Bombyx mori: one gene and its partners. The protein of the gene in region 1 purifies or fractionates together with the protein of each later gene. This does not show direct contact. Links are inferred from orthologs where the notes say so. Each region holds a gene or a part of one and is shown in the gene's direction. Other genes may lie near its edges. The genes, in order: ZZ-type zinc finger-containing protein 3, transcriptional adapter 2A, DNA polymerase epsilon subunit 3 and molybdopterin synthase catalytic subunit.

Region 1 (7,560 bases):
ACAAGAAAAGGCTCAAATACAAGAAATAGCTCGTTTGGCTTCATCAAAATTTTAAGGAGCCGTAAACGTTTGAAATACTATACTATTATATATTATGTTATCTACCTACGAGACAATAATTATGTACACATTCTACCCTCTTATCGCGGGCGCGTCTGATATATCTGACCCAGGCGACGGGGTAACGCAAAGCAGTCATCGCCCAAAACATGTCTCATCTGAGATCTCAAGAACTCAACTGAGTTCCAGATTCGGATCTTCTTAGTGGATTGCGATTCTGTTCCGATCGTAGATACAGGGAAGCGGTGTTCTTGCTAGAGCTAAGGCTAACAAATGCTCTCAGGTTTAGCGCGTGAGCTTACCTACCCGTCCGCGCGTAGTTGGAATAGCCTCGTAAGCTATCAACGACTAGGTAGAGAAAAAGACGAATACATCCTGATCGTTAAAATCTACAACAATAATATAGACACCTCTAATTCAAACTCCATACGACTCATAGTGGCTTAGATCACTGACGAGCAGCAGCGAGGCGAATTAAAATATTTAAATTTAAAGCCGTTTACGTTCCAGTGGCCATTTAATTTATTTACGTTTTCATTTCTCCGAATTAATTCAATAATTACCGCAGCTGCTGAGTCTAAAAGCTTTAAATTTGCGGTCCCGGCGTGGCCCGCTCTAACCTGATTATAGGCTGGTATATAATTGCCCGGGAGAGCTCTGTACAGATTCTAACTCTAAATCAATTAGCCAGCAACAATACATGCTAAACATGTTAATTGATGATTTAGTAAGCGTTTGCTGTATGAATTGTTTATTCTCTAGACTCTGTAAAGAAACATTGAATCATAACATTCTTGCAACAATAAATCTTGCCAGATTGTGCCAGTTTTTTTACCGCACGTACTCTAGCTTAAACGGTTTAATGGATCTTAACAATTATAAGGTATCGTGAGGATTTGCTAAGAAAGGCAACGGTCAAGTTTCAGGGACACGACCTTCAGCAATGAAGAAAGCGACGAAGAAGAAGAAGAAGGATTTGCTAAGTCGCTAAAAAAGCAGCATATTAATGTGATTTTTTCGTGGATGTGTTAACAAGTTCACGGCTTGTCACGCTTAGATAGATAGTCACCGAAGCAGATAGACATCAAAACTTGAATATAATGATTCATCTTGAGAGATAATAAGGCCAAACTCTCAATTGTACAGCTATAATGGCTGTCCTATCATTTAAGCCTGACCAAACAAAAAAGATTGTGGTTGCTATCACTCCGGGCTCACAATACGCCCTGAACTTAACAAATTCAACAGTTTCGTTTTTATTACACGATGTTATTCTTTTGTTGCAGTAATTGTTCGTAAGCACGTGCAGGTGGGGGGACGGAAACACTCTCTAACTCGCAAGGCAAGGCAAGACTTACAATTAGACTAACAATCTTTGCGCACTTTCATACCATCATCACCATCTCCATTGTCATCATGACATCATTTAACAAACTACATCAACATCACCACATCATCACATCTCATCATTTTACCAGCAGAATTCTCACCATTGCGGAGAAGGCAGGGACTTCAAGTCCGGGCAGAGGGGATTTCCCCGAGGCCCAAACCGTGCCCCCGGGAGGGGACACGAGGACCCAGAAGCAGAATAGTAAATATAATTTGAAATGCGCCAATGTGCACACAATCAATATGCGCTGTACATGCATACAGTGACCATTCGTACTGTTTTTGGTAGGACAGTACTGCTTTTTAGACGATGTCCTTCTTTTTTGTTGAGCATAAATGTCCTGGTTTTTACTTGTTTGTACTAGTTTGCACAGGTTTTCAATGAAAGTTAAATAATATTGAAATTAAAATTTTGAATGAATAATTATAGTATGGGGTCTTCTGCGTGAGTCTTGGTTCAGGTGATAAGGGCTTTGGGTCCGTTACCGGAATTACTGAGATTTTAGAACTTATATCTCGAGGTGGGTGGCGCATTTACGTTGTAGATGTCTATGGGCTCCAGTAACCACTTAACACCAGGTGGGCTGTGAGCTCGTCCATCCATCTAAGCAATAAAAAAAATAAAAAAATAACTATGTCCAATTTCACACACACCAATTGATTGTACAAATATTTATATAAATGATTAGAAGGTGAAGAGTAACAAACGAAAGGATAAGACGTCCGGTGCATTCGTGTTGAGCAATGCACCGATGTTCGAATCCCAGGCGGGTACCAATTTTTCTAATGAACTGCTCAACAAATGTTAACGATTGACTTTCACGGTGAAGGAATAACATCGTGTAACAAAAATCAACGGTAGAACGACGTCTAGTACATCCGTACGTAATCCGACGTCCGTACCGGTAGGTACCATCAACCCGCCTATTTCTGCCGTGAAGCACTAATGCGTTTCGGTTTGAAGGGTGGGCAGCCGTTGTACTGAATTGAGACCTTAGAACTCATGTCTCAAGGTGGTTGGTGGCATTTACGTTGTAGATGTCTATTGGCTCCGGTACCACTTAGCATCAGGTGGGCCGTGAGCTCGTCCACCCATCTAAAAAATAAAAAATAAATAAAAAAACAAACCCGCAAAATTATAATTTGCGTAATTACTGGTGGACGCTTTGTGAGTTCGCACGGGTAGGGTAGGTACCACCACCCTGCCTATTTCTGCCGTGAAACAGTAATGCGTTTCGATTTGAAGGGTGGGGCAGCCGTTCTACTGTAAAAACGGAGACCTTAGAAATCTGTCTCCACTTACCTTAGTGGTGGCATTTACGTTGTAGATGTCTGTGGCCTCCGGCAACCACTCAACATCAGGTAGGCCGTGTGCTCGGTCACCTACCAATGTAATAAAATAAAAAACGCCTTCATATATTATATGCTAGGTTGTTGTTTTTTTTTATTGCTCGTTATCCTGTTTTTATTTTACAAAAATAATGGTCACTATATTTATGCTAATATAGCGCCACTGCCAATAAAAACACATAGACATGATGATTTATAAAAAAATTGAGATATTTTGATCAGCTTTCACACAGTCTTAATAAAACACTATAAATGGCACGAAATTACCATTGTTTATTAACAACAAATAGCATTGAATGTTAGTCATCTGTTTGACTTTTACTGAAACTTGTGGGAAGCACGAGCATTGCCATCTGTGTTAAAATTTTAGAAACAAACTACTGGTTTTGTTGTGTGCATAAACACCTAGATGGCGCTTTGTTTTACTTGTTATTCTTGCGTTTCACTTGATCATAAAAAAATATAAATTTATCGTGTACACTCATTTTCCTTAAATAGGAACAATTGTTGGAAATAAATTCTTAGTTCGATGTAAAAATCTCATTGGTTTAGAATCTCACTTTCATTTTTTTCAGATATAGATTCTTTGACGTTTATGTGTTTAATCTATGAAACTGTCAGTAACATATTAAGTGTATAATCTATGTCAGTAACCAAGTAGCCTTTCGAAGAAGTTCTGCGTACATAAAGAATGTAATGTTTATTTATTTTAACGTCTACTTTATAGCAAACTGTTAAAGCCCTAGTGAATAGGTTGGTATTAAATATTTTTTACCTGTTATAAATAAAAGAAATAGACTGAACTCACCGGTCCGACCAGCCTTCAACTGAAGAGCTTCTGAATTCATGCTTACATTTTTTGTTATGAACACTGTTTATTTTATTTTTTATTTTTACACTCAAGTTTTTAGGATTTTTCGCTATTTTCATTCCGAAACTATTATTCATATTTTTATCAATTTAAAGGTCATGGACAGCTGTGATGAATATGAAAATGAAAGTGAGAAGTCAGAAGATGAATTTGCATTTGAATCAGACCATTTAGCCTTAAGAGGAAACAAAGACTACTGCAAGTTACTCAAATACATAGTTAAATTAGAAGCACAAAAGACACAAGCTCTAAAAGACATAGAAACTTTAGCTGAATCTCAGAATAAAGCCTTGGATGACCCTTTGACGTTTATTGATGATCTCAGATCCGGAAACATTCAATTTCCTGCTCATCAAACTATCTCTGATTTGCCCAATATAAACTGGAATGAGTATGGAATAGATGTTACAGACACAATAGGTGCTAGTGAGTCAAAACAATGTAAGGAAGAATTAGATTCTAGTTTCAAAGTTAGAGGGCGGAAGTTCACAGACAATAAACCAGAGACGTTCAATCAGTTATGGTCATGTGAAGAGCAAAAAAGATTAGAGGAATTGTTAGAAATTTATCCTGAAGAGCCTATTGAAGCGAGAAGGTATAAAAAAATAGCACAAGCCCTTGGCACAAGGACCCCAATACAAGTTATGAGCAGGATTCAAAAGTATTTCGCTAAGTTAGCGAAAGCAGGTCTGCCCATTCCAGGCAGAGCACCCAAAGGTGTTGGACGAGATAAAAACAAGTCTATATTTTATAAGAAATCTACATTTTTTCCTCAATTGCATGTTCCTGTAAATATGGAGGACTCTTGTGACAGTGGGGAAGGACACGACAATATGTCCTCTTTAGAAACTAAAAATGATGGTAAATACATGTTGGAACTATTGAAATTAGCTAAAGAACAGAGAGTTTTAGATGAAACCACACCAGTTTATCAAACTAAGACCATGTGTGTTGGTTGTCAAAAAATGGGTTTTTTAGGAGCAAGGTGGACAGACAATTCGGGTACTGACTATTGCACAGACTGCGTGGTGAGATTATTACCTGCTGAAAGACTTATTCCAGTGAGACATTTAACTTGATGCAATAAAATGCTCAGCTTATTTTTGTTTTTTTCAAATTGTCACCAACAAAGATAGTTTTTAAGTATCTTGAAAAACATAGAAGTAAATTTTAATCAACTTCTAAGTATCTTATCGATTTGAAACATTTCAAATCACTGTAATGTGGATCACAATACTAAAATATGGTCACAATATGTTGTGCTAATCTGATTTTTTTTTATGAAACTCATTGAGATTTGAAATTTTTCAATTAATTTTAATAATTACTCTTCGGCTTTTATTTATTGCAACATTACTGCACTTCAACCATTATTTAGTTTTTAAAACTAGATACCCGAAAGAGCTTAAAAGACGCAAATTTAGTAACACCACACATTCTGAATTTTTACTATTTTCAAGAATTTAAACGAATATTTAAAAACAACTGGATACGTATTTCAATAACTTAGGCTATACTGTCAATTACCGACTGGTTCTGGTGATAACGCAATACTGGGGCGTCCGCGGCGAGTGATGAACATCCACTGGACTGGAACACTGAGCACGCCTCGCACCCGCTTCTATCTACCCTCTATACACACTACATTATCTACTGCTTGGCGGGAGTTTTGTGTTCTACACATAAATAATTAACACAATATATCACACCCTCATTCAACACGCCCTATGATTTGACCTACAACTTCATTCTTATTCTTAGAGATCAGCAAAGTGCACCTCATTTTGATTGATGTGTTAATAAAACGTGCAGAACTTCACCAACTAAAATTATTTTAACATCGCGTGCTTCTTTTTAATTTTGGATTAAGCTCACGGTAGCCTAGTGTTATTGCAGTCCAAAAATAGTGAGATACATATTGAAGTGATATCCGCCGCACCCTGGTTAGGTGAAACAAGTCCCTAAAGTATTGCAAAACTTGTACGATTCCAAAACAATCGTACCCATATTATTTATGTAATACTTATAAGTATAATACGCCCTGCAATATGCAAAAACAGGGATTGTGTAGAAAGGGAAAAGGTATTTGAGGACAAATATTTTAGGAGTTAAAAAAAGGGATTGTATCCGTATATCACTAATTGCCGGATATTATACTATTAATAACCTACATTAGCGCGTTTCTATGTTGATTTATAGGATTTGTTATAATTTTATGGGAAGTATATCATTACTTATTATAATTCAAAGCGAGCAATTGTGTAAGCCGGCAGTCTCGAAAACAAACTAGTTGAAAGTGCAATGCAAATTGCAATTATAATTTTAGCTCAAGTTTTGTATAGAAAATCCTTTTTCTCCTACAGTTCAGTTTACAGTTTTTTGTAACGTTTGTGTAGGAATATAGGTATGTCTGCAGCGATTATTTCCCGCTAAATCGGTATGTAGATAAGCGTGGTGTGAATAGCAGCTTTCTACATTAAGCTACATAAACTCACCAATGTCCACTTTTGTTTTGATACACTGAAAATAACAAGAACGCATTATTTTACCTACCTAAATATTACTTTTTTTTTTTTTTACATTATTTATTATCCATTATTATTCATTAATAATATTATATATTCATTAAATAAAGAAAACAAAATTTAATGGGAGATACGGTTCTAAGATTCGACACACTTGAAATATATACATCATTTATTCACACCTGAAAACATAAATTCACGAACAAAAATTTGCTTTGTATTTTACTATGAAGATGAAAGAACCATGACAAATGACCAAACTATTCTTTTGTACTATCTTCACACTGGAGACTAAGTGGTTAGACCTATTCATGCTTGGACGTATCCTCGGTAGATTTATTAATTAAAATGATATATTACGTATTTCCTATGAACTTGCTATATGTACATATTTACGTACCATAAATACAGTAAGCATTGTTTACATAGAGGTGCGATAATGTTTTTATTCTGAGCGTTGAAATTATATCCGCAGTTGTTTATATTGATAGATCTATTTGTTCCGTGGTTCATCCGTCTCTCAGATTACGATGATTGGACGCGGTGGAGCGCAATGGGGCAGCGATCGCAGGCCTGTTAATTAAGAACAAGGCAATACAGATCGTTACAAAAGATCTTGTTTACTCGTACCCTTTTTTGAAGTTTGGATACCTACATTTTTGTAATATGCTGGTACTGTGGAATGTTGCTTACCTACGGAGCCGAAACGTGGAAACTGACTGTGCGACTAGTCCACCAATTAAAAGTTACTCAGCGAGCTATGGAGCGAGCTATGCTCGGTTTGTCATTGCGAGACCGAATACGCAATGAGGTCATTCGGGCAAAGACCAAAGTGATCGATATAGCTCGCAGAGTTAGTAAGCTGAAGTGGCAGTGGGCTGGTCACATATGTCGCAGAACCGATAACCGTTGGAGTAGACGTGTTCTGGAGTGGAGACCGCGAACCGGCAAACGTAGTGTAGGACGCCCTCCTGCTAGATGGAGCGACGACCTGCGCAAGGCAGCTGGCAGTAACTGGATGCGTAGAACCGAAGATCGGGTTCAGTGGCGAGCTTTGGGGGAGGCCTATGTCCAGCAGTGGACTGCCGCAGGCTGATGATGATGATGATGATGTGGAATGTTTGACACCTAATCTATCTATCTATATGTATAAAAATGAATTGCTGTTCGTTAGTCTCGCTAAAACTCGAGAACGGCTGGACCGATTTGAATTATTTGTGGAAGTCTAGAGAAGGTTTAAAAGGTAGATAAATATGAAAATACTCGAAATTAATTAAAAATAACAATTTTGTTTTTCCTTTGATGTGTCCCCCGTCGGACGGATTCCTTTTGTTTGTTTTAAGTTTATTTTATCCAAAATTTAGG
Region 2 (7,722 bases), on another chromosome or scaffold:
AGAAGCCCTAAAATGTCCAGTCTCAGTTTAGGTTTGAGTATATAAAGATTCTGGTTCGCCAAAACTCAAGAAACTCTTCCTCCTTTTGACCAAGCAAACACATACTGAAGGCCTGATCAGCACGGTTTTGACAGATCAATTTGTCAATCCCTCGAGCTGTTGCTATCAGAATTGACATTATATACTTAAATCTGATCCAAAGGAGATCCAAAATATTTTAATTAGGTAAAGTGTCCATTAATATTTCTTTGACTCCTGTGGTTAAGCGTTCAGGAAACTTGATGTCAAATGCTACAAGCAGGTCACCCTTTCTTGTGGGTTCCTTGGGGAACGGTAGTCCATAGCCTGGGAACCTTTTGACTGTGTGAGGTTTTACTATTTCACCATGTAAGTTGACTGTTAACTTTTCTCCAGACATAGTTGGTACTTCAATGGTTGTGCCACAGAGTGCCTGCAACAAGATTAAATAAGTTATTAATTTCCATAAATGACTCACCACTTATAAGATGTATTGCCTAGTTAATTAAATTATATTAGTCAATTATAATAAAATTATTATACAGTACTATAAGTCAACTTATGGTAGGTACTTTGTTTTAATTTTGTTAGTGTGTGTTATTCCCATTAAAAACAGAAATTTACAAAACCTTTTTGAGTTCAGAAATGCACAAGAAACTTAACATACCTGTTTGAGTGAGATTTTAGCTGTGTATCTTATGTCACTGCCTTCTCGCTTGAATAGTGGATGTGCCTTATCTCGGATGATAAACACTATGTCTGCTGGGATTTTATTACGACCTCGATCACCTTCTTTCTGGAAGGTAATCTTAGTTCCAGCTTTCCAGCCAGGCTTCACGTGTATGGTCAACACCTTGTCTTCCTTCTTCGAGGTACCATCTTGCTGTATTACACGTCGCGATATCTTCATCTTCTTGACACAACCACGGGCGATATCTTCTAATGATACGTATAAATCGTGTTCGATGGGGGGGTCCTGCGTCTTCTCCTTCCTACTAGGTGAACCATGGAAATTAAAGCTGTGACTGCGGAAAGCACCACCGGGGCCACCTGGTCGCGCCTGCCCCATGCTTATGTTACTGAAAGGATCCATATCCACATCCATGTCGCGGTCGAAGAACGTTGTAGTTCCACCTCCATTCAGATCGAAGAATTCCTGGAACGGGCTGGCCGAACCAAAGAACTGCGCGAACGTTGCTTTCGGGTCGCCGTGGAACGTGTAGGAAAATGATTGACCGCCACCAGGACCATTCTGCCCGCCCATACCACCCTTTAGGCCTTCTTCGCCGTGCGCATCATAAATTTCTCTTTTCTTCTTGTCCGATAAAACCTCATAAGCTTCTGCCACTTCTTTAAACCTTTCCTCTGCGCCCGCAGCCTTGTTCTTGTCCGGGTGGTACTTTAATGCCAATTTTCTGTAGGCTTTCTTGATGTCATCGTCCGAAGCACCTTTTGTTATTCCCAATATTTTATAGTAGTCTTTGCCCATTTTGATTTGTACTGAAACAAAAAAAAAAGATCAGTCTCGACGTTTGACACCTTTTTTGGAAGCACGATTTCGTCGATCATTTTCGTTTCATAAATTTGATAGACCACATTTTATAACAAAACCACGGTTTTTAAATGAAAAAAATCAACATAGCATTTTCAGAACACTTACTTGTATTAGAGAAACTTTAATCCTTGATAATTTAAGCACAATTTACGAAATTTTAGCAAATAATCACAACGCAAAACTCAACACTTCACTTCAGCAATATCACAATTGAATGAAACGCGGCGCTCTCGTCGAACCAAAATATATACATCAAAACATCTAGAACATTCTAGGACCTTCACCCGTGACGTGAGCGAGATGCAATAAAAAGAAAGCAATATGAACTAGCTAATGTTAAAAAGAGACAAATATAAATTTCTATGTTCATCGGCTAATGGGCACGTCATTTTCTCGAATCTCGACCCGATTATAAATGTCAGTATGTTCTCGTTGTTTCTTTTTTATTTTACCATGTTCTCTGTTACGACTTAATAAATAAAAAATGCAATATTTAATTGTTCATGTTTTCAAAATATTATCTATTTAATGATTATTCTGAAAAGGGGATTATTTATTTTAAAGCGATACTAGTGTTTATTATATCTTTTAGATTGTTTTTTTTATTAGATCTACTGTTAACAAATTCAAAAATTAAGGAAGCTTATCAAAGAAGAACATCATCTATCATAGCGGGTTAATCAAATGATACATTTTGGATTTAGTTACCCAGTTTTCCTAAGTAAACTAAAACACTGTGTTTTATTCGTTGCTGGTAAAGTATGGAGGTTAGAGGTAAGCAGAACCAGCTGTAAGCATCACCCGCTGTTTGCCTTTACCGTCCATACTTTTCGAGAAATGGTTTTCTGTGTATGAAAAAGTGATCGTCGAAAGGCGACCAATTAGGGTAGCGCCATCGTAGGCAGTGGTGTAATTTTAAAGATAGCCCAGAAAGTTTTTCAACTAAGCATACTTCACTCCCTTACAATTTCTACATCATCCATTTGCTACACTAGCCCTGTTTTAATGAGTTTTCTGAATTGCAATTTGCTGCTTACAGCCGGATGCTTCTTCAACTTGTCTCTCATTTTAAGATAGTTCTCCTTACCTATAAGTACACACCTAAGAGTTAAGTATGAAGTCGTAACAGATATTTAGCAGTGATACATAGTAAACGTTGACAAAGACATAAGTACAGATATATGAAAAAGTAGGAATGATCCTTCTTCTCGAAAAAGAGAAAATCGACTGCCCATAAATATATTTTTTCGATATTCGCTTTTTTTTTATTTTCCGTGTAATGTCACCAGCACCGACTTTAAAATACTTTTTTAATATCGATGCTTTGATGTCAAATGGAATGGATCGGATTGAAATGAATTTGTTTATTAACTGATATTGTCATCAATTTGCGTTGTTTCAATAGATTTTTTGGAAGAACCCGAGACGTCACGTTCAGCAACTTTATTTCATTTTCCAATAATAATGGATTTTCACACATGATATGATGATAACCTGTTTGCAAATGCATTTTGATTTGCTAATGTCCTAGATGGATTGGCTATTATAATGATAAAAAGATCGATTTAAACAGAAATCAATCCCTGATCACCATCCCTACTCACCGAGATATGTAGTTATTTTGAATAAAGTTATGTATGTATGACAGGGCAAGAACAAAAAAGGTAAGATCTTTTTGGCGGAACCGCGAGGAGTGAAGTTGTGTGATTTGTTTGTTAGATTTAAATGTGTAATAACGTGGCTTATTAACTGTTTAGTATCTGTGAAAGTGCACAAATGTGGGAAAATGAAACAAAGGCACTGGACGTAACTTCTCGGGATCTTCCAAAAAGTCAATTGAAAAAGTCTTAGTAAATGACCACCATTTTACTGAGATTATATTTTATCCCATATTATCCAACCTCATTTCATTTCATGCCATGTTTCATTAATCAACTTCATTTAATTACACTTCATATTATCATTTTTCATATAAAATGAATTATAAAAGATTAGGCTGTATGGTATGATACCATTGACTTTTCAGTTGAAAAAATAAAACTACTACTATTATGTAGGAACCGTACTTACTTAAATATTGTATTTTCTAAACGTTTGCTGAAATAGTAATCCCTAACATTACATAGTTTAACCGGTTTTACTAAATAGAAAAAAATCACTATCTTCTATTGTAAACCAATAAACAACTGATCTGTGCGTGAAGTTCTATCGAAATGTAGGTGTTTAGTTCTTTTGTTTTTGAATTTTTGAAGTTTGTTCAATAGGTAAGTGATAGTTAGACTATTAGGTTTTGTTTGTAAATAAAATAAAGGTTTTTAAAGTACTACTTTATTTATCTGACAAGTCGAAGAAAGAGCGCGTGCCGGCATCCCTTGTATTCGATGTCGTAGTACTTCTCATAAAAGTCTTGTATAAGTTCTTCAACCTGAAATAATGTCCAGAGATATACTACAAACGAACTGCGATTTGTGTTCAGAAGTCGCACACGAGCCTTTTATCGAATGTTGCGAGTGCGAAAGCAATGTTTGCACTCCTTGTTTTTCATCCGGCAAGGAAACAGAAATGCATAAAAATGACCACAAATACGCGATAAGAAGAAATGATTTTCCATTATTCGGTAATTGCAATTGGTCTGCTAAAGAAGAGTGCAAATTGTTATCAGCACTTTCTACATACGGATTCGGAAATTGGGAAGAAATATCTAAGAATGTGCACACACGTTCTAAACTCGAATGTCAAGAGCATTATAGGAAATATTACATAGAGAATGTGCAGTATAAAGAATTGAGATTACTAAAGGAAACACAACAGTCACTTTTTCCAATGCCAATTACTCCATACTTGTACAATACAGATGTAAGCACTAATCCGCCTAGAAATAACAGTTCAGATCAACATTTAGCTGGTTACAATACATATAGATCTGAATTTGAATTCAGTTATGATCACAATGCTGAAAGCATATTTAATATTGAAGACAGTTACTCTGAAGATGATGATGAGGATGAGGATGAAATGGACATGATGGATTCTTTAAAGGTGTCTTTAGTGAATGCTCTTAATACAAGATTAAGAGAAAGACATAGAAGGTATAAAATTATACAGAATCATGGCTTAGTAATGCCAAATAAGCTTTTCTCATGGATCCAAAAGTTTGACCTCACTATAACACGACAGAAAGCAGAACGATTGCTTTGCTTCATGCAGTTCATGACAGGAATACAGTTTGACGCTTTCATGGAATCCATGAGCTTAGAGAACGAGCTGTTACAGAGAATTGGACATTTATGTGAATACCGTAAGAATGGTATAAAAACTCTTTATACTGCCAAACTTTATAAGCAACTTAAAAAAGAAAATGACATAATCATGAAAGAACAAAAGTATGCTACATGTGTTATGGCCAAGAAATTTGAAAATCAATCACCAGTGAAGACTATGTACACAAAAAACCACCAAGTGCTGCGTTACAAGCGTATGGCAATGCCCTTAGAAATAATTGACTTGCCAGGTTTCCACAGGCTGAGTGAGGCTGAACAAGTACTATGTTCTAATTTGAGGCTTGTACCAACAAACTACTTGGAAATAAAAGAGCATCTTATAGCTCAGAACAGTAAGCTTGGATTCCTACGACTTTTAGATGCAAGGAAAATTGTTAAAATAGATGTAAATAAGACTAGGAAAATTTATGATTATTTGTTATATGAAGGTTTTATAAGTAAACCATTGTGACTATGACAAATTGGTATCATTTAACACCACATATGCTATGCTGAATTGCAGATACACACACTTGTCAACTATTTATCAATCGAAAATTATTATGCAACAAAGTATTGTTAGCCTGTGTGTATTTCTACCACTAATGTGCCTATTTTAGTCTTAAAGTATTCATACTTTCAATATAACTTGAACAGTGTGAGAGCAGTGACATTACAATACTTTGGGATAGGTGAGTTGGGTGTGAGCTCAGAAGCCCAACTGCAGAAATGAAATATTCATAGTTCACGTTGTCTGTTTGTCTGTTCTTTGTGCACAAAATGTTACTTTTGGATTCATTATCAACAAATAATGTGGTAGTGTAAAATGCGATGAAAATAGTTAGATACATAGATACATTGGTAATATGAGGTATGAGGTCAAAATTTTAGTAGCTTTGAAATAGTAGACTAATCTATGCATCAGCATGTTTCTGGCGTGAAGCAGTTTTGTAAAACTCCAGATAAGTTTACATAATAATTACAATACATTGAGTGATATTCATAATGTATCATAATATGCTGATAATACATTGTACCATAATACCAGAGAAATAGGGTTTTCATGATACTCACTTTGAAGCCAAATTTTTGATATAAAAATATAGCTGGATTTGTTGGTGACACATGCAGTGTGATATCTTGGCCCGTGCAAGTCTGTAAGTAAAAAAGGTAATTGTCTACAACACTTAAGCCTGAACCTTATATTAGCAAATAATTTAAGGTAAACATACAATGCAGTTGATACTTTGACCCATAGAGTAAGATTATATATAACCTAACTTTGACCTGAAGTCACCAGTATTCAATGCAGGGTGAACCTTCTTTATTTAAAAAAAATGAACAGTTTTGTGTCCGTTGCCATGCAACCCATATCATGATCCGTTTTACTGATTGAATTAATATTATATTAATACGTTGACCGCCATGTAGGGCACTGATGCCCTACGCGGCGCACTGAGGTAATTATGTCGATCTCTATTACTAAGCGCTGGGATTGCTTAATTTTGCCTTCTTTTGTGTTTAATATAATATGTTTTAGTATTTTAGGTCTCCAGAAATATATTCATTCTCAGTATCTTCGAATTCTTTCCCAGCGACTACGAGATGTTTCAGCGCCTTAGTAAGAAGATAGAAAAGAGAGAAATCGACATAATTACTTGAGTGCGCCACGTAGGGCACCGGTGACCTACATGGCAGTCAACGTATTAAGATCTGGCGATATGTTCTTACTTCGTATGTTCTTCACTGGAGATACAACTTTCTTTTTTAAAGAAAGTTTCTCCACTACGGAGACTGGATTATGTGGTAACCAGATCCATCTTCCTGAAATATCGCAATAAATGTCCGCCTTACTGTTCCTCATGGGCGAGTATACCTGAAGTAGATGGTACAGCATGAATGTAGCTATGCCGGCCCTGCCCCACTCCGGCCTGGTGAGCACGAAGGAGATGTACGCGGTGGAATGTCCCGCGTCCGGCACCAGGAAGGCACAGCCCACGACCAGGCGTCCGTACGTCACTACGCAGCTGAACTCTGGGTACTGCAGGGCCTCAGTTACTGGCGGACATCACAAACATATCTAAGCAAAATTATAATTTCCCTTATTACTTGTGGTAGGAACTCTTGTGAGTCCGCGCGGGTAGTTACCACTACCCTGCTTATAGCTGCCGTTAAGCAGTAATGCGTTTCGGTTGGAAGGGCGGGGGTTCTAACTATATTGAGACCTTAGAACTTATATCTCAAGGTAGGTTGCGGCATTTACGTTGCAGATGTCTATAAAAAGCGTGATCAGACACGGTACCGCGATGTTTTTAGTTTTTGAACCTTGTATGTTTATGTATACGAGTGTTCACAATTGTTAGCCTGATGTAAACCAACTAGCTGTACCCATCCGCTTCGCTGGGCATTTAAAATTAACATCATTATTTCTCACCCCCACAAACATTCTCATCATTGACGCCCCCGCAACTGGTGTAGGGAGTCCAACACTCATATAAATATTAGCCTATCCATTAAGTACATGTATTTTCTACATGGATACCAAGTTTCAAGTCAATCGGATGCATGGTTCAGTAGTTATAACGGAACATCCGTAAAAACCACTGTAGATTTATATATTATCAAATCAAATCAAATCAAAAAAGTTTTATTCAACATAAATGAAAGTGCATACTTGTTGAACGTCAAAACTACCGCCAATTCACGAGAATTAGCCTCCGTCCTGAGAAGAATTGGCAAGAAACTCAGCGGGCATGTCTTTTTTTTTTTGTTTTTTTAAATATTAGATTATTATTTTTGAATATTAGATTTTTTTAAATATTCATTTTTACAAAAAGGAATTATAACATAACAATTTTACAATATTGAAATGCCCGGAGCGAGCAACTC
Region 3 (7,703 bases), on another chromosome or scaffold:
TTCCGTGAGTGACTTAAATAAATCAGCATACGTATTTTTGTAAGCTAAAATATGATTGACTAGCTTTTGCCTGCGACTTCGTCCGCGTGGAATAGTTCACAAATAATGGTTTATTTTAGAACAAATTTGGTTAGCATAAAAAACGTTATAGTGAGCCAACCTTAACATATAGACATATGCTGTCGCGGACTTTTTTTATATCTTTTAAAGGGGAACAATTATGTCATACATTATTTTAGCGAAACTTTAACCGTTTCTGCAGCACACGCAGCGGAAGCTCTCAAAAGGGAAAAAACCCCGATTTTGAAACATTCTTTATTGGTGCTCCGCTTGTATTGGTCTTAGCGTGATGTTATATAGCCTATTCTCGATATACTCGACTCTTCAGCTTTATAATATTTATATGATTGATTCGATAATGCTATGAAATTTTCTGACGAAGCGGTCTTGCGATGTAATAATGACATGCCGTCTTTAAAGGCTACATGAGGAGACTATTAAGGCCATTCCTGTCACGAAGCAGTCTTCCACTCCGGCTTAAGATTGGAAGTGATGGACGTAGGTAATCGTGACAATGGCCATCCGTGTTAAAACAAGTAGCGACGTTAAAGGATCGCGTAAACACTTATCAGGTCAGCCGTGAGGTTTTAGAACCTCTTTTGAGTCCGCACGGGTAGGTACCACCACCCCGCCTATTTCTGCCGTGAAGCAGTAATGCGTTTCGGTTTGAAGGGTCGGGCTGCCTTTGTAATTACACTGAGACCTTAGAACTTATATCTCAAGGTGGGTGGCGGCATTTACGTTGTAGATGTCTATGGGCTCCGGTAACCACTTAACACCAGGTGAGCTGTGGCCTCGGGTATCAATCTAGGCAATAAAAAATAAATAAATAGAAAGGTCGGTCTCAACTGAATTCAGAAGTATTCTAAAAGGGATGTGACGCCGCATCAACATTGTCATCGATCCCCCATAATAATAAATCCCAGTATTCCACCAGGTTCTGTACTCCCTCTGAACTATGCATCCGACAGGTCGTGACAATCAAATTTCAATCAAATCTTTCCTACAGTGTACTTCGAAACTCTTGAATTATCTAATATTCTAGAATTACCCCGGACCTTACCATCCTTGAAACAATCCTAAGTATTTTAAGCAACTGAGCAACCCGAAGGTAATATTACCGATGTTCACAGGCAGCGATGAACACTTTTAATCAGTTGGGCTATATGCTCGATGTTGAATTAGATAACAAAAAAAAAAAAAAAACGTGTATTTTTTTCTAATTCACGTAATTTATTTCATAGCACGTTATTTACGATCGTCAAATTGCAAACATACGTTATACAATTATTATAAAATATTAATACTCTTAATAAAATATCCTTACCGCATTACGATTCCAAATCGAAAAACCACAACAACACCGCATTCGGATAACATGAGAATTAATATCGAAAAACTCTAAAACCAACGAGATCGTGTCGACGAAGAAACCACTGTAATAATGTTATTTAGGTATGTTTTTTGAATAAAACATTACAATAACACCATAAACTCAGAAAAGTATTAAGTACTCTGTGCTAGAAATCGATGAGAATGCAGACAGAATACGTCTAACAACGAACAAAATCGGTGCCGCACTAACTTATCATAATAATATAACTTGAATAGTGTCAGGATAGGGACGCTTAGCGTTATAAAATAACGCGTTATATTTTATTAATAAGACTACATTAAGACGCTTGGAATAGTAACACAGTATCGCAGTATATTATGTGCATAGCGGTATTGACCGAAAAACAAAGTTAGACAAAATCAGTGCACATGTCGTAGAATTGTTGTAAAAACCTTTTTCACATTTTTTGAGACACAGGTACTAGGAAATGAAAAAGCTATCTGTTTAGCATAAAGTTTCAAATTAACAGTCACCGAATCTCTATAAAACTTATTAGTAACAAAAAACATAATAGCTTAAAAAAATAGAGAATATAACACGCTATCGCGTTTTTGTTCATTTGGACATCACTATTGTCAAAACAACACTGGCATCAACATTGCACCACGAGTTTGCGCAATACCTCCAAGCGTACCTAACTCAATAAAAATGTATTTATAAATTTTATTTCAATTTTATTACGTACTTAGTAAATTCAACAATTGACCTTCCCTTTTATATGTATTCACGTCATTCATTTTTAATTTTTCATCGATTTCTGTAAAACTAGGTCATTGACCTGTTTAGTTGATTCAGTTGTCAATTTCTATCTAAAAAGTAGATACCTATTATGTTTTAAAAACGAACTAACACGGACAACGTGTCCTTTGATACGCTAATATACGCTTTCATGGTAGTCAATGTATGCCTAGTAAATCTATGGTAAGCCTACTGATATATTTTATTATATTTTCTAAATAATGTTTTTAAGCACACTGGTCACTCGTAAATCAGCTGTTTACGGGTAACATGATAACGAACGCGAAGCTTTTGTGAACTGAAGGCCATGTTATTTTTTAAAGATGAAATTTTTATTGCTGTTCCTCCCTTCAAACCGGAATGCAATAATGCTTTGTGGCAGAAATGAGCAAGTAATTTCGTTCGTTTCTCATTATATCGACATCGTGCAAATCAAATAATTCTACAAACAACACGAGTGTTCGAACCATTGCTTTTTATTTTTATCAACAATCAACAAGGTTTCAAGCGAATTAAATGGCTGATTAAAATAACAGATTATCAGATTATAATAATTTAACCAAAAAATAATAGCGAAAATAAACTTTTACATACTTTTGAGTAATTTATTTTTTGACCGTGAATTATTTTGGATAATGGTGACTGCTAAATATTTTGAGTTAATTAGACGATAAAGTCGATTTCCCACCAAAGCATACAGTTTAAGTTTATCTCATATTGTCTTGATCTTTGCTGCACTACAAGCCCTCTTCTGGTCTGCATTCGTTAAATGGACATTATGCGTCATCATCAATGCGTGCTTTCTTGCCACCAGTGAATTAAAATTATCACGCAATCCTATATTTTTGTAATATTTTTGGAAAACAGATCGCAATGTTTTTATAGCATGTAACGTGAATAAGATTTGAGGTTTTAATTTTGAAGAATAATAGAAACGTTGAATAAACAACAAATAAACACGTGATAACGCTAAATACTAATTGTGAATTCGGTAGGCTACTACACTGCAGGATCTAACTGCTGGTATTGTCCCATCGTTTTATGTAACTTCACCGGGTATCTCATACAGCATAATAATATAGTTTAAGCCACGATACCTATGAAAACTTTGAAAAAAAGGCATTGTATTCCGAGTACCTATTTTTGAGACTTTTTGTAGCACGGCGACAGGCGGCAGTTACTAACCCTTGTATCCATAGATAATACACATAGAGAGTACTATCGTAACATTCGTAACTGTGTATAATCTATAACTGTGACTGTATGCTCCAATCAATGTCAAGAAATGTCATTAGTGCTTCTGGCGGTTAAATTAATGTTTTCATTTAATTCCAGATTTTATAAATAGGAACGTTATAAACAAAAATGGCTGAAAAACTCGAAGATTTGAATTTACCACTCACAGTTGTAACTAGAATCGTAAAAGAAGCTCTTCCCAGTGGCGTATCGATATCAAAAGAGGCGCGAACTGGCCTCGCTAAGGCGGCTTCAGTTTTTGTACTTTATGTGACTTCAGCAGCTACAAATATTGTTAAGAACAAAAAAAGGAAGGCTCTCACTGGGCAGGACGTGATAGATGCTATGAAAGACATCGAATTTGATAGATTTGTGGAACCTTTAGGAGAAGCTCTGGAACATTACAAGACCATGGCTTCGGCACGAAAATCCGCTTCTATGAAGAAAAAAGATGAACAAGAAGACGCTGAGATTATAGAAGACGATTGAATACTACTGCGACTTGAGTTTAAAATGTATAGTGGCGCTTAGTGGTGTATATTCAGAAACTGTGCTGAAAAACTATATGAAATAAGTTCAAAGAACCCATGCCTGTGTTACAAAAGTGATAAATGTTTAAATGAAACAAGTTTCCCATGAACATTTACAACAGTTACCTCGCAATAATTAATCAGTTGGTAATAATGTATGAAGTGTTTTAAAATTAAATAAACTTTTATTAAAAACAAGTAAACTTCAAAAGCATCCCAAAATGAATTGTGTCCACTTACTTTTACATCAGTAAATTAACTACAATTAAAACTTAGAACTTCTCAAAATTTGTTTTTGCAATTTGCTAAAATTAAAAGTATTTTATTTGATTTATTACTGATATTTTTCTAAACTTAATTTTTACTGCCATAAAAATTACTTAATGTTAGGTTATGTATGTATGTATGTTATGTAAATGTTACAATTATTACTAGATCTGGTCACACATCCTTTTAAAACTTGTAATTATAAGAAAATTTTGTTAGAATCTGGCTTTTCTATTATTTTTCAGTATTCTAGAATAGTCTCAAGAGAAATTAAAATAATGGTTATGTTTGTGTGAAAACCTCCAATTATTTTCATTCAATATATCATACAATATTCAATGCCCTGCTTATCTATGGTGGTAGTTCTCGAAACTTGGTAGTTTGTTTTGGCTTTTGTCAAGAGTGGGACATGACAACCAATTTGAATTAAATGATACGAAATATGAATCAAATGAGTCGACTATTATCAAAGCCGGCAATGTGACTTTTGGACAATTATTGGTAAATCAGAAAAACGAATTATTGACTTTGTATTCTGTTGGCAGTCACAAAACTCTTCTGAACGACATCTTAGATAAATAACAGGTTAAGTATTAACCTTTATTTAATGCAGGTTTTGAACCGTATTCTTTGAAGGAGACGATTATATTCAAATCAATCTGTATTGACATATCAATAACATTTTTTTGTCCAAATGCACAGATTGCCACCTTTGATAATAGACGACTCAAATACAATATAACATCATAGGATAAGATTCAAAATAAGTGTTTATAGGAAGTCTCAAAGTAGTTCCACTGACAAAGTAAAAAATGGAAGAATTATGGTATGGGCATGTTATGTGAATGACGATAATCATTTGACCAAAAATAATCTAGGTGTGATAGTGACAGTGTTTTAAATAACTTCGATGGACTGAGTAAAATAGGATATGTTGGACAAGATTAGAGATGTGAATGTAGGGAGTGAATATGTAAAATAAGAGTCGGCAGTGACTCCAGATAATATGGGATAAGGGCAAGAAGAAGAAGCAATATAACATTGTAGTTATTTAATTCTGATACGGCATAATAGACAATTCTGTCTGTTTTCCAGCAAAGGATTCATGCTCCACAAAGAACATTAATCCATTAATTTGCATGTTTTTTTTTCCCCCCTACCTTTGATGACAGCTTTGAGAGGCTATATCAGCTCTACCCTAGTGTGTAGGTGAGCTCACGGGGCTCAAACCTGATGTTGCTAGCATGAACCCTAGCAAAAGCCGTGCTTCGCAGAATCTACCACCGGATCGGAAACGCAACCCACGAAGATCAGGCGAGAAACTCGGTGGGCTGTGTCTGTGGGTTAATTTACTCGCCAAGCCCTTCGTCGTAAGCGACGGGTTCGACGAGAACGATGACCGGTGCTTGGGGTACCTAAAAGCTCCGTTAGTGGATCGGGAGGATCTGAGATGACGGTTTTGGGCGGCGACGTCGACTGTTTACTGTTCGGTCTGCAGGATCGGCTATGTAGTTACCGGCGGCCACAATGAGAGGGTTCTCGTGTCGTGCCGCTTTATCGAGATGGGGCATTGACGCTGACTGCAAACACTTAAGTACTGATGGACTAGGTCCAGGTCGTCATGAAAGTCGAATCCATTACTATTGACTAACAACACAATTGAAACTTCAGGTTCACGTTTCAAGGCTGGTGTCTCATCAGTTAACCCATTAACGGCACTCATCCAAGGAGGAGCAATAAATGTATTCAATCATATAGTAAATACTAGAAAAAACCTGATATCTTCATCTTATGATAATTCCATATATCTTATAGTTAAGTTTATCTGAATCTGCGGATACTACTTCACTTATTACTTGTATTGTCCGCTTAAAAAACCTTTCCGAAATGAAGAATCCCACAAGTCGATGCGTTAAAATAAAATATAATAAAAAATTTAATAAAAGAAATAACCTACGTCTTAAAAGTAGTTGTACCTAATTTACCGAAAAAATAACAAATAAGAAACAAAGTAATTTTGTTACCTTTTTTTATTATGGAATAAAATATATCTGGAAACAAATTGTGTTCTCAAACCTCACGGCCAGGTTTGTGTCTACCTCTACCTATATATTTACAATTTGATAACTCTCAATTATAACGAAAATATATTCTAATTTTATATTAATATAAACTAAATACATATATTTTTCCTCTTGAATTTATTATCATCATTTTTTTTTAATTATCGAAGACTTAAAAACTATTCATAATATATTGAGATGAAAAACTTTAAGAAAAATTTAGCAACAAAACTAGTTTAGTAAAATTTAAATCGATTTTAACCCTTAAATGCGTCGGTATTAAATTATTTTAATTTATTCTCTGTCTTAAAAAATGTTTATCTTCTTTTTCTTATAGTGCCAGATGTCCTTAGTGGTTGAGATGGGCACATTATTATTGATAGTAGGTGTGAACACGCAGATAATAGAGTAGATAATGTTTTACAGGTTCCCTCGACGTAGGGTATCCGCTTGGTCCAAAGATGAGTGGCGGTATTTACGTTTGATCAGCTATTAATGGCTAATGTAACTTATTACCTACCATCCGAGGTAATAAATTTGGTTTGCAGTCTTGTAACTGCCGCCTATCTGCAGACTAATTCTTGTTGGAAAATGGTAATAACAACTCTGGTATTCGCAAATAAATCAATTGATTTCGTTTAATGTGGAAAATAGATGATTATGTATACTGTTGCGTTATAGACAGATATTAAAGTAACAGATTCAAAAGCAATCAAAATCAAAGTTTTGAAATTTGTTAAAATAACAATAACCAAGCGTATTTAAGGGTTACGATATAATTTAAAAGTACAAGTTCTAAGAAATGAAGCATGACTTTAAATCAGACTCTAACAGTAGTTATAGTAATAAATTTGCTAAGCAGAATAAGACAAAAATTTAGAAAATATCTAGTAGACAGTAATAACATAGAAAATTATTAGCAGAACTGTATAGTAATTTCTTTTCCAAGGTCTAAAACTGTAATCCAATACTTTATTAAAGGATAGGTACTTCTTGAACGAATATTCTGAGATCTATACAAGTAACGCGACCAATGAAGGCAACCGATTAAGGACCCGTAAAATTTTACTAGGACGTCAAAAAAATGCAAGTCGCACTCTTTATCACTCGCAAAAAAATAAAAAAGCCTCATAGACGTTCCAAAGCAGTGTCATACGTTATGTGCAAATTCATATTTAACGGCTTGCAAAGGTTTAGCCTACAGTCATCGAGTGGTAATATATCGATGCATACAGTACGTAGAGTACATCTCAATAAACACTATACACAAAACGCAACGGTCCATAGGTTTATTCACGTTCCCGCTAAAAAGTGCAAAAACCACAGATAAAAAATATCTCGGATAAATTATTTGGTCATTTGAAATTTTCGCAGGGCAGTCGTAATGTTGTAGATGTCGTTTTAACTTACTAA
Region 4 (8,621 bases), on another chromosome or scaffold:
AGATTCGACAGTGCTGCAATCATTTTTAAAATTCTCAGATTCAGTTAGAGTTTTGTCTTCCAGCATATCATTGAACGACATATCCATATACTCAACCGTTTTATTTAGATTTTGATTATGTGTTTCAGTTACATTTTTCAACTGACTCTCAGTTGTTTTAGTTAAAAACAATTTGTGTACGGGAATCTTTTCTTGACTGAACAATATTGTTGTTTCGTCTTTCCATAGTAATTCTTTTTCAAGGTCTTCATTAAATGTGACACTTTCTTTGTATGGACTGTTCCTGTTGGATATATTTAAATCTTTATTTCTATGAGCTACGATAGGAGTGGACGCAGAGGCTGTCTTGTCAGTTGTCTCTTCAGTTTTAGGTGTTGAACATTCTTCTAGTCTAGGTGAAATTTGATTTGATCCCACATCATTATCTCCAGGGGGTATAGGGCTTTGTGAAGAACGAAAAATATTAAGTACGCTCTTGAGACCTCTCATTATTGGAGATTCATTTTCATTTTTTTCGGGTTCTTTTGTTGGTGTTGTTGCATCAGGACTGTGTAATGCTGAAGATGATGAACTTGCTAGTGATATGTTTTCATCATCGTTTGTTTTACTAACAGTTACAGTGATATCATGAGTATCACCCGTCAACTCAACACTATCCAACTGTTGTAAAATTGTTATTCGATCTACTTGGTCAGTGGGAAGTGACTGGAGAGGCAATGTTTTAAGAGATTTTACCACATTTTCATTCTTTGATATATTAGAATTTAAAGATCGAGTCAAATTATTTTCATTGCTGGAATAATTTAGTGAATCATCATTATCAAGGCTTCTATTGCTAGTATAGTTAGTAAAGCTCCTCGACATAGGTGATGCGGCTGGGGTTATAGAATACCTCAATTTCATGTTGAGTTCTGACACATCCAACTCCTCATATCCTTTCTCTGTACATGGTAACACATTATTGTGATATGTATTCTCTTTATTATCAAAATCACTCTCTAAGCTGTCTATATCCATCGGTTCATCGCGATTTGCCATTTTTTATATATCACTAAACACACAACGGTTGATTGTAGCGTTTTTAAGACTCTGCTCTGCTCGACACGTCACGATCTGAAGACACAAGTAAATATTCAATCCAACACTAACATCAAATATTTTTCAAATAATTTCACTGATTTCTATTTCGTAAAATAAACGGTTCGGTAAGTATGTCATTAGAAAACAAAAATGTCCGAGCACTGAACTGAAACTCGCATTCGTATTCTATTTTTATCCTTTTTGTGTTGTACGTTGTACGTAGTCCATTTTATATAAGAAGCGCACCCAGAGGGAATCTTGCCAAAAAATAACGATCAGTATACATAGAAGCAGCACACAAACATACCGGATTGAAAACCGTTTGAATTCGGTAACTTTTTCAATTTGAACTGTCAATTGTCAGATTATGGTAGTGCAGTTAGTATCGATAGTGACGTAAAATTAAATCGAGTTGCGAAGGTGTTTAAGCATTATCTATGGTCAAGTGGAAGAAAAAGAATGTCAAACGGCAGGAGACATGATCACCGAAAGAATTCAAATCTAAACTCATAGGATTAACCTTAATGTATAATAAGAGAGTGTCAACCTATAGAGCCATCGCTACAACATTTCGACACTGTCATTTTAAAATACGAAATGTCGTATTTCCGCTACTTGTTAAAAAATAAACATATTATCGTTTATGCGTAAACTTTTGTTGCTGTTTTTCAAAATTTCACTTCTAGGAATATTTTCTTTGAGAGTTAAAAAGTAGGGGTTGAAAGTGTAATTTCTCTCATTTGAAAGAGAACTGTCAATATTGAAGCTTTTACATAAAGCTTAGTAAAAATAATACACGTGATGTAATTACAATATATTACCTATGGCCATTACTGTAAACAATAATGTACTTTCTTTTACTTGTATTATGATGTACTTTCAGCAATAATTAGTTTATACATTATATGATTATATTTATTCATTATTACATAATTCACAATATCATTATTCATCCCGTGCAAAGACGGATCACTACTATTGAACATATGATGATTATTAATTGGATTATAAGATATTTTATAAATAGGCCTGAGACATGAAAATACAACATAAACATGATTTAATATGATGGAGAGATAGTAGTTAATAACAGACATATTTATAATTTAAGTTTAAATTTTAAGTATTTTATCAACAACTCTCGCTTGGAAAGAGGGTTTTTTTGAACCCCTAAAAAGAGATCCTAAAAGAATATCTATATTTTTAAAATACTATAAATGTAAAATTGAGTTTTGTTATTGACTCTTAATTTTCATGTTAAATTTTCGCATGCACCTTATCACGGGTAATTTTTCTTAGTACAATGGGAGCGAAGTAGATATGCTATAAAAATTTAATTACAAGGTGTGGTCCTGTCTTCTAAAGCGATCTCTTTCATTCAACCGTTGTATGGATAAGATTCAAGAAAGAAAAGTGTAAATCTACTATGACTAGAACACAAGAATGAAATTGGATATGCCATTGTAATATTTTTCCAATTAGGTATTTCTGCAACTAATATACTAAACTAATATGGTCTTTTCAACTATCTAGGTCCTAGATTCTAGGAGATGGAAATGGAGCAAAATCACTGGACTTGGCTGGTTGGCCTATTACGAAAACTGATATCATTCAAACTTTAAACTATTACCTTTTTTATACCTTAAAAAAGGTAATAGTATGGCTTGGTAATGACACCTTTACGCTTCTCGTGCAAAAGAATTTACTTTAATTTAATTCACGAAGCCCGCTATAGAAAGCAGAGTATTATATACACTTGACATTGGCGAAATCTAAAAGGAAACGCCATAAACCTAAGAGATAGATAGATAAAAGAATTTACTTTTTGAAACAAAGCCTATGAAATACTATTCCTTTGCCTGTTTTTTGGGATCAAACAAAAAGTTATTAATTCATAAACTATAACAGCTGTCTCTTGTTTTGCTTTTGAGTTTTAAAATTTGAATTTTAACTTAATTATAACACCTAATAGTTAGTAAGAATTTTAAAGAAGTGAAATTTCTAATCTAAGTTTGAGGAAAAAAAACCCTTACATTACTACCATTTAAGACAGAAGATACAGTAAGTATATTTAAAATTACTTTAATAAATAAAATGTTACGATTTTCAAGGTTACGGTATAACCTCCTAGTTATAAAAATCACACAGTTTAAATTAAATGATCGCTGTAATGACATTTGTACCAACGACGTACTTGAAAATATCTAATAATATTATACTGTGTAAAGTATAGGTATCTATTGTATGAAAGTAGGTGTATGTAATTAGATCGTGAAATTCCGACACGGTCCAATGATCAGCAACATGTTTAAAGCAGTCGCCCATAAAATAAAAACTATATCCACGACATTCATGTAGGTAAGTCGAGTGAATCAGTCAGTAAGTAAATGAAACGCCGCGGTGATGCAGTCAGTAGATATATAATTTTTTAAAATACTTTTGATGTACATGGAAAGTGTATAACGGAAATTAAAAACCTTTTTATTATCCTACAACAAGTACAACATATTTAGTCTTTTATGGATCAATTCGAAATAAAGTAAGAATTTAATTTTTTAAATATTTTTCTTTAGATTTTGCAGCACCATTTTGTACTTTCTAGTTTTTTTTTTCAATTCAAATTACATGTATGTATTTTAATCATTATTGTTTACTATTTACACAGATTTAGAAGCAGTATTGACAGTAGCTATATTGATTATTTTGTTGTAATGTTTTTTATTTATTTTTACTTAAGCAACTTTTTTTTACAAACAGGTTTATAATAACACATCTTTTTATTGCAGGCTGGTAGATTGACTATGGTAAATTATGGAAATAGAAAATATAGAAGATACTGTAACAGTGAAGCTATTGTTTTTTGCTAAATCAAAAGAATTGTCGGGAGTTAGAGAAACTTCCATAACTTTACCAAGAAAGTTGGGATATCAGAGATTGTTGAATATTATATGCGATAAATATAACTTAAACAGTATTAAGAAAAATATACTTTTGGCTAAGAACGAGGTAGTGTGTGAGGATACAGTAGATATAGAAATTAATGAACAAGACAACTTAGCTGTTATACCACCATTGAGTGGAGGTTAAATAGTATTTCACAGGATGGACCATATAAAATTAACAGTAGATAGACTGTCAGTCGAAGAAATAAGTGAACTTGTAACTGATGATAGCTGCGGTGCAATTTCATTGTTTATTGGCACAACTAGAGACAATTTTGAAGGAAAAAAGGTAAACTTGTATTATTTAAAATTTTCTAGTCATTAGGAAAATAGGTATTTTGTTAAGATTCTGTATGTGAAGCCCGTTGTTCAAAACGGTAATGGCTTTTAACCATTTTAGTGTTAAGTGATATTTCATGTCACTATAGGCAGCAAATTCTTCGTGATCTACAGGATATGGCACCCGGTGCATTCACATCAAGCGACGCAATTTTCTTAATGAAATAGGTTAACAAATGTTCACAAATTATTTCTATAATAAAGGAATAACATTACTTGTTATAAAAATTGAACCCGCAATAATTATAATTTTTGTGTAATTATTGGTGATAGGGCATCATATCTGAGCCCACGCGGGTAAGTACCACCATCCTGCCTATATTTTCCGCGAAGCCGTAATGAGTTTCCGTTTAAAGGGTGGGGAAATTGTTGCAATGAAAAAACTGAGGCTTAGACAAAAAGAGTTTGAAGAGCAACCTAGCCCAAATACATAACCAACTTAATTTCTCGCTGGATTGGATTTCTCTTACTAGGACTATTGTTAGCAAATTCTCTCAGGATGAACCCCATGAGCTTACCAACCCGTCCGTGCGTAGCTGAAGATATAAATAAAGAAAATATGGCCATAACTCTTTGTCTATTTGCATCTTCTAAATTTACAATTTCCAACACAGATATAGTTGTTTACGTTCCATAGATAAGAAATGATTTATTTTATATTATAGTTTGACCTCTTTGAACACTTTTTGTAAACAACAACCAAGTCAGATAAATGTGGTGAAGTAAAAAATATTCATGTAAATGCAGTAAATAACAAGAGATTGTTTAGTCATACCGATGTTAGCAATGATTATATTTCAAAAATTTAAACTCATTTTTATACCTTTGTTTTCAAGTTAAGTCTGTTCATACGGTATGCTGCGGGCCACTTTGAACTAGAAGGTTGTTTCTTCCTAGTTTCGAGATAAAAAAAATATATTTTCGTAACGAGCTCACGGCCCACCTGTTGTTCAGTGGTTACTGGAGTCCATATACATACATCTACATCTCAATTGTTTAGTAATTACGCACGTTACTATTATATCGGATTTTTATTACACGATGTGGAAGTCATTCGTGAACGTGTACTAAGTACGTATTTCATTAGAAATAAACCTTATCGTGACCGCCTAAAATTACATATCCGACCCAGGCCACGAGGCAAATCAAAGGTACCGTCGTCTAAAGAACATCCGACGACATTTATTGAAGTCGTCGTGGCCTAAAGGATAAGACGTCCGGTGCATTCGTATATAGCGATTGCACCGGTGTTCGAACCCCGCAGGCGGGTACCAATTTTTCTAATGAAATACGTACTCAACAAATGTTCACGATTGACTTCCACGGTGAAGGAATAACATCGTGTAATAAAAACGTAACGTGTACAATAAAAGTTTTAACATGTGGTAGGACCTCTTGAGAGTCCGCGCGGGTAGGTACCACCACCCTGCTTATTTCTGCCGTGAAGCAGTAATGCGTTTCGGTTTGAAGGGTGGGGTAGTCGTTGGAACTATACAGAGACCTTAGAACTGATATCTCAAGGTGGGTGGCGCATTTACGTTGTAGATGTCTATGGGCTCCAGTAATCACTTAACAGCAGGTGGGCTGTGAGCTCGTCCATCCATCTAAGCAATAAATAAAAAATACTATCGAATCCTCTCGATCGACTCTCCGGGCTTTTAGGCATTCCAGGCACTGGTTACCGCTCTCGTCGAACACGTCAAATACGACAGAGTTCCACGTACAACCTATCCACTGAGTTTATCGCCGGATCTTCTCACTACGTCTCAGTGGCTCGCGATTCCGATCCGATGGTAGATTCAGCAAAGCACTGATCATGTTGGGGCCAGGGTTAGTAATTCTCTCAGGTTGAGGGAGCTCATCTACCAAACCGCGCGTAGTCAAAATAACAGCTTGAGGGGGTACCAACGATCCTATTGGAAAAAAAATAATAGAAATAAGTGATTACTGGTGGTAGGACCTGTAAAGTCCGCACGGGTAGGTACCACCGCCCTGCCTGTTTCTGCCGTGAAGCAGTAATGCGTTTCGGTTTGAAGGGTGGGGCAGCCGTTGTAACTATACTGAGACTATACAACTTCATGTCTCAAGGTGGGTGACGCATTTACGTTGTAGATGTCTATGGGCTCCAGTAATCACTTGACACCGGGTGGGCTGTGGGCTCGTCTATCCATCTAAGCAATAAAAAAAACCATAACTATCGGATAAGAACACCGACAAATTCACATCGCAAAATACGAATGTCGAGCTAATAAAAGCGTATTATAAAAAAACGAATTTTATCGACTTCTATAACAGCTGCTGTATATTTGCAATTATAAATAACAGTTGAATTGACAAATCAATATTTGTTCATTCCAATGCAAATTTAACGTAACGAGGAAGTAAAAGAAACAAATAATTTACCTTGAAAATGAATTTTACGTGAAAACGATTATTGTTTTAATTATTTCACTTAATACCTAAATGTCTTCACGGCACGACCTGGTGATAAGTAAATTCCATATTTTTTTTCTACCTATTCTAGTAACGTCGAGGGGTTATTCTAGATTCTTCAAGAGATTTGTACCACCGCCTTCTAAAGACATGAGATCGAATTAATTAAAGCTACTTTTTTTATTTTTATTTCGTGACAGTAATGAAAATAAAACACGTGCGATTACTTTTAATTATGTATATAAATCGCAAAACCGAAGAAAACACGATAAGATCGAATGTGTTGTTTAACGGGTCTACCAACTTTCGGAATGCATGACAACTTCTCCGCGGCGGATCTATGTGAGGTATTGGTACCTACCCGCACGGGCTCGCAAAACGCCATTTTTTTCGAGCAGGGGGGCAAACCTACGAGGTATCAGCGCTTAGGGGGCACGTGGGGTATGCGGGAGTTGACGGTCTGCAGATGTTGGGAGCAGACCACGGACCCAAGGATCACCATGCCACAATTAATTACGTAAATCGACAAACGTATTAGAACCTTTTTCGTGTTTCTATTAAATGTTTCATGTAAAATTTACTCAGTTTTCATAAAAAAACGTTACTAGCATATAACTAGTCAGGTCATAAGTATTGTCACACAGTAAAAACTTTTCTTTTAGAATGCTGGCCACAAAAAAGTTTATTGAATTCGAATTTCGAATTGTTCATGAAAATAAAAATGTATACTTTTAGAATTTTACTCATTTTTAAATATGGAGTGGACGCTTAAAGAAGACCGTGTTGCAGTTATTGCGTTGCATCGTTGCGGTTACGCGCCAATTCAAATTTTTAACATACTGAAAAATTTGAATATAACCAAAAGATTCGTTTATCATACCATCAAACGATACAATGAAGACTCTAGTGTAGATGACAGGTCAAGAAGTGGTCGCCCTTGGTCTGTTAGTACTCAAGCAGTGATAAAAGCTGTGAAGGCGCGAATTCAAAGAAATCCCAAACGTAGGCAGAAACTGTTGGCCCTTGAGATGGGGTTAAGCAGAACCACGGTAAAAATGGTATTACATGAAGACTTAGGGCTTCGGGCATATCGAAGAAAAACAGGACATCGTTTGAATGCTCGTCTAATGGACCTGAGACTGAAGAGATGCCGCGCTTTGTTGAAGCGGTACGCGGGAAAAAAATATCGGGAAATTCTTTTTTCGGATGAAAAAATTTTTACCGTAGAAGAGAGCTACAACAAACAAAATGATAAGGTGCACGCACACAGTAGTGAAGAAGCGAGCAACCGTATTCCGCGTGTCCAACGAGGTCATTTTCCATCCTCGCTCAATGGTATGGTTGGGAGTTTCTTATTGGGGCTTAACAGAGGTACATTTTTGTGAGAAAGGTGTAAAAACGAATGCAGTTGTGTATCAAAATACAGTCCTGACGAACCTTGTGGAACCTGTTTCTCATACCATGTCCAATAACAGGCACTGGGTATTCCAACAAGATTCGGCGCCAGCTCATAGAGCGAAGAGCACACAAGACTGGCTGGCGGCGCGTGAAATCGACTTCATCCGGCACGAAGACTGGCCCTCCTCCAGTCCAGATTTGAATCCGTTAGATTACAAGACATGGCAACACTTGGAGGAAAAGGCGTGCTCAAAGCCTCATCCCAATTTGGAGTCACTCAAGACATCCTTGATTAAGGCAGCCGCCGATATTGACATGGACCTCGTTCGTGCTGCGATAGACGACTGGCCGCGCAGATTGAAGGCCTGTATTCAAAATTACGGAGGTCATTTTGAATAAACTTTAGTGTCATAAGAATCTATGTTTTGT

What was found.
Region 2: the proteins of ZZ-type zinc finger-containing protein 3 (region 1) and transcriptional adapter 2A purify together in Drosophila melanogaster (affinity purification with mass spectrometry; 4 studies listed by BioGRID, with this or other methods). This does not show direct contact. The link is inferred for Bombyx mori from reciprocal best matches to the Drosophila melanogaster genes Atac1 and Ada2a.
Region 3: the proteins of ZZ-type zinc finger-containing protein 3 (region 1) and DNA polymerase epsilon subunit 3 purify together in Drosophila melanogaster (affinity purification with mass spectrometry; 3 studies listed by BioGRID). This does not show direct contact. The link is inferred for Bombyx mori from reciprocal best matches to the Drosophila melanogaster genes Atac1 and Chrac-14.
Region 4: the proteins of ZZ-type zinc finger-containing protein 3 (region 1) and molybdopterin synthase catalytic subunit purify together in Drosophila melanogaster (affinity purification with mass spectrometry; 4 studies listed by BioGRID, with this or other methods). This does not show direct contact. The link is inferred for Bombyx mori from reciprocal best matches to the Drosophila melanogaster genes Atac1 and Mocs2B.

What each region holds. Positions count from the first base shown.
Region 1 is NC_085121.1:4,877,760-4,885,319, forward strand, and holds ZZ-type zinc finger-containing protein 3, read left to right. Parts: upstream 1-3,768; coding exon 3,769-4,749; 3' UTR 4,750-4,770; downstream 4,771-7,560.
Region 2 is NC_085111.1:1,073,394-1,081,115, forward strand, and holds transcriptional adapter 2A, read left to right. Parts: upstream 1-3,998; 5' UTR 3,999-4,006; coding exon 4,007-5,305; 3' UTR 5,306-5,315; downstream 5,316-7,722. Other genes in the region: DnaJ-5 (dnaJ (Hsp40) homolog 5), read right to left, coding at 218-451, 686-1,507; cysteine-rich protein 2-binding protein, read right to left, coding at 3,906-3,998, 5,908-5,988, 6,710-6,891. UniProt on the Drosophila melanogaster protein: Component of the histone acetyltransferase (HAT) complex ATAC; predominantly involved in acetylation of histone H4, including at Lys-6 (H4K5ac) and Lys-13 (H4K12ac).
Region 3 is NC_085130.1:7,453,169-7,460,871, reverse strand, and holds DNA polymerase epsilon subunit 3, read left to right. Parts: upstream 1-3,434; 5' UTR 3,435-3,559; coding exon 3,560-3,919; 3' UTR 3,920-4,448; downstream 4,449-7,703. UniProt on the Drosophila melanogaster protein: Accessory component of the DNA polymerase epsilon complex. Participates in DNA repair and in chromosomal DNA replication. Histone-like protein which promotes nucleosome sliding of ATP-dependent nucleosome remodeling complexes.
Region 4 is NC_085131.1:1,994,112-2,002,732, reverse strand, and holds the start of molybdopterin synthase catalytic subunit, read left to right. Parts: upstream 1-2,872; 5' UTR 2,873-3,141; intron 3,142-3,212; exon of another isoform or gene 3,213-3,619; intron 3,620-3,866; 5' UTR 3,867-4,182; coding exon 4,183-4,311; intron 4,312-8,621. Other genes in the region: putative leucine-rich repeat-containing protein DDB_G0290503, read right to left, coding at 1-1,038. UniProt on the Drosophila melanogaster protein: Catalytic subunit of the molybdopterin synthase complex, a complex that catalyzes the conversion of precursor Z into molybdopterin.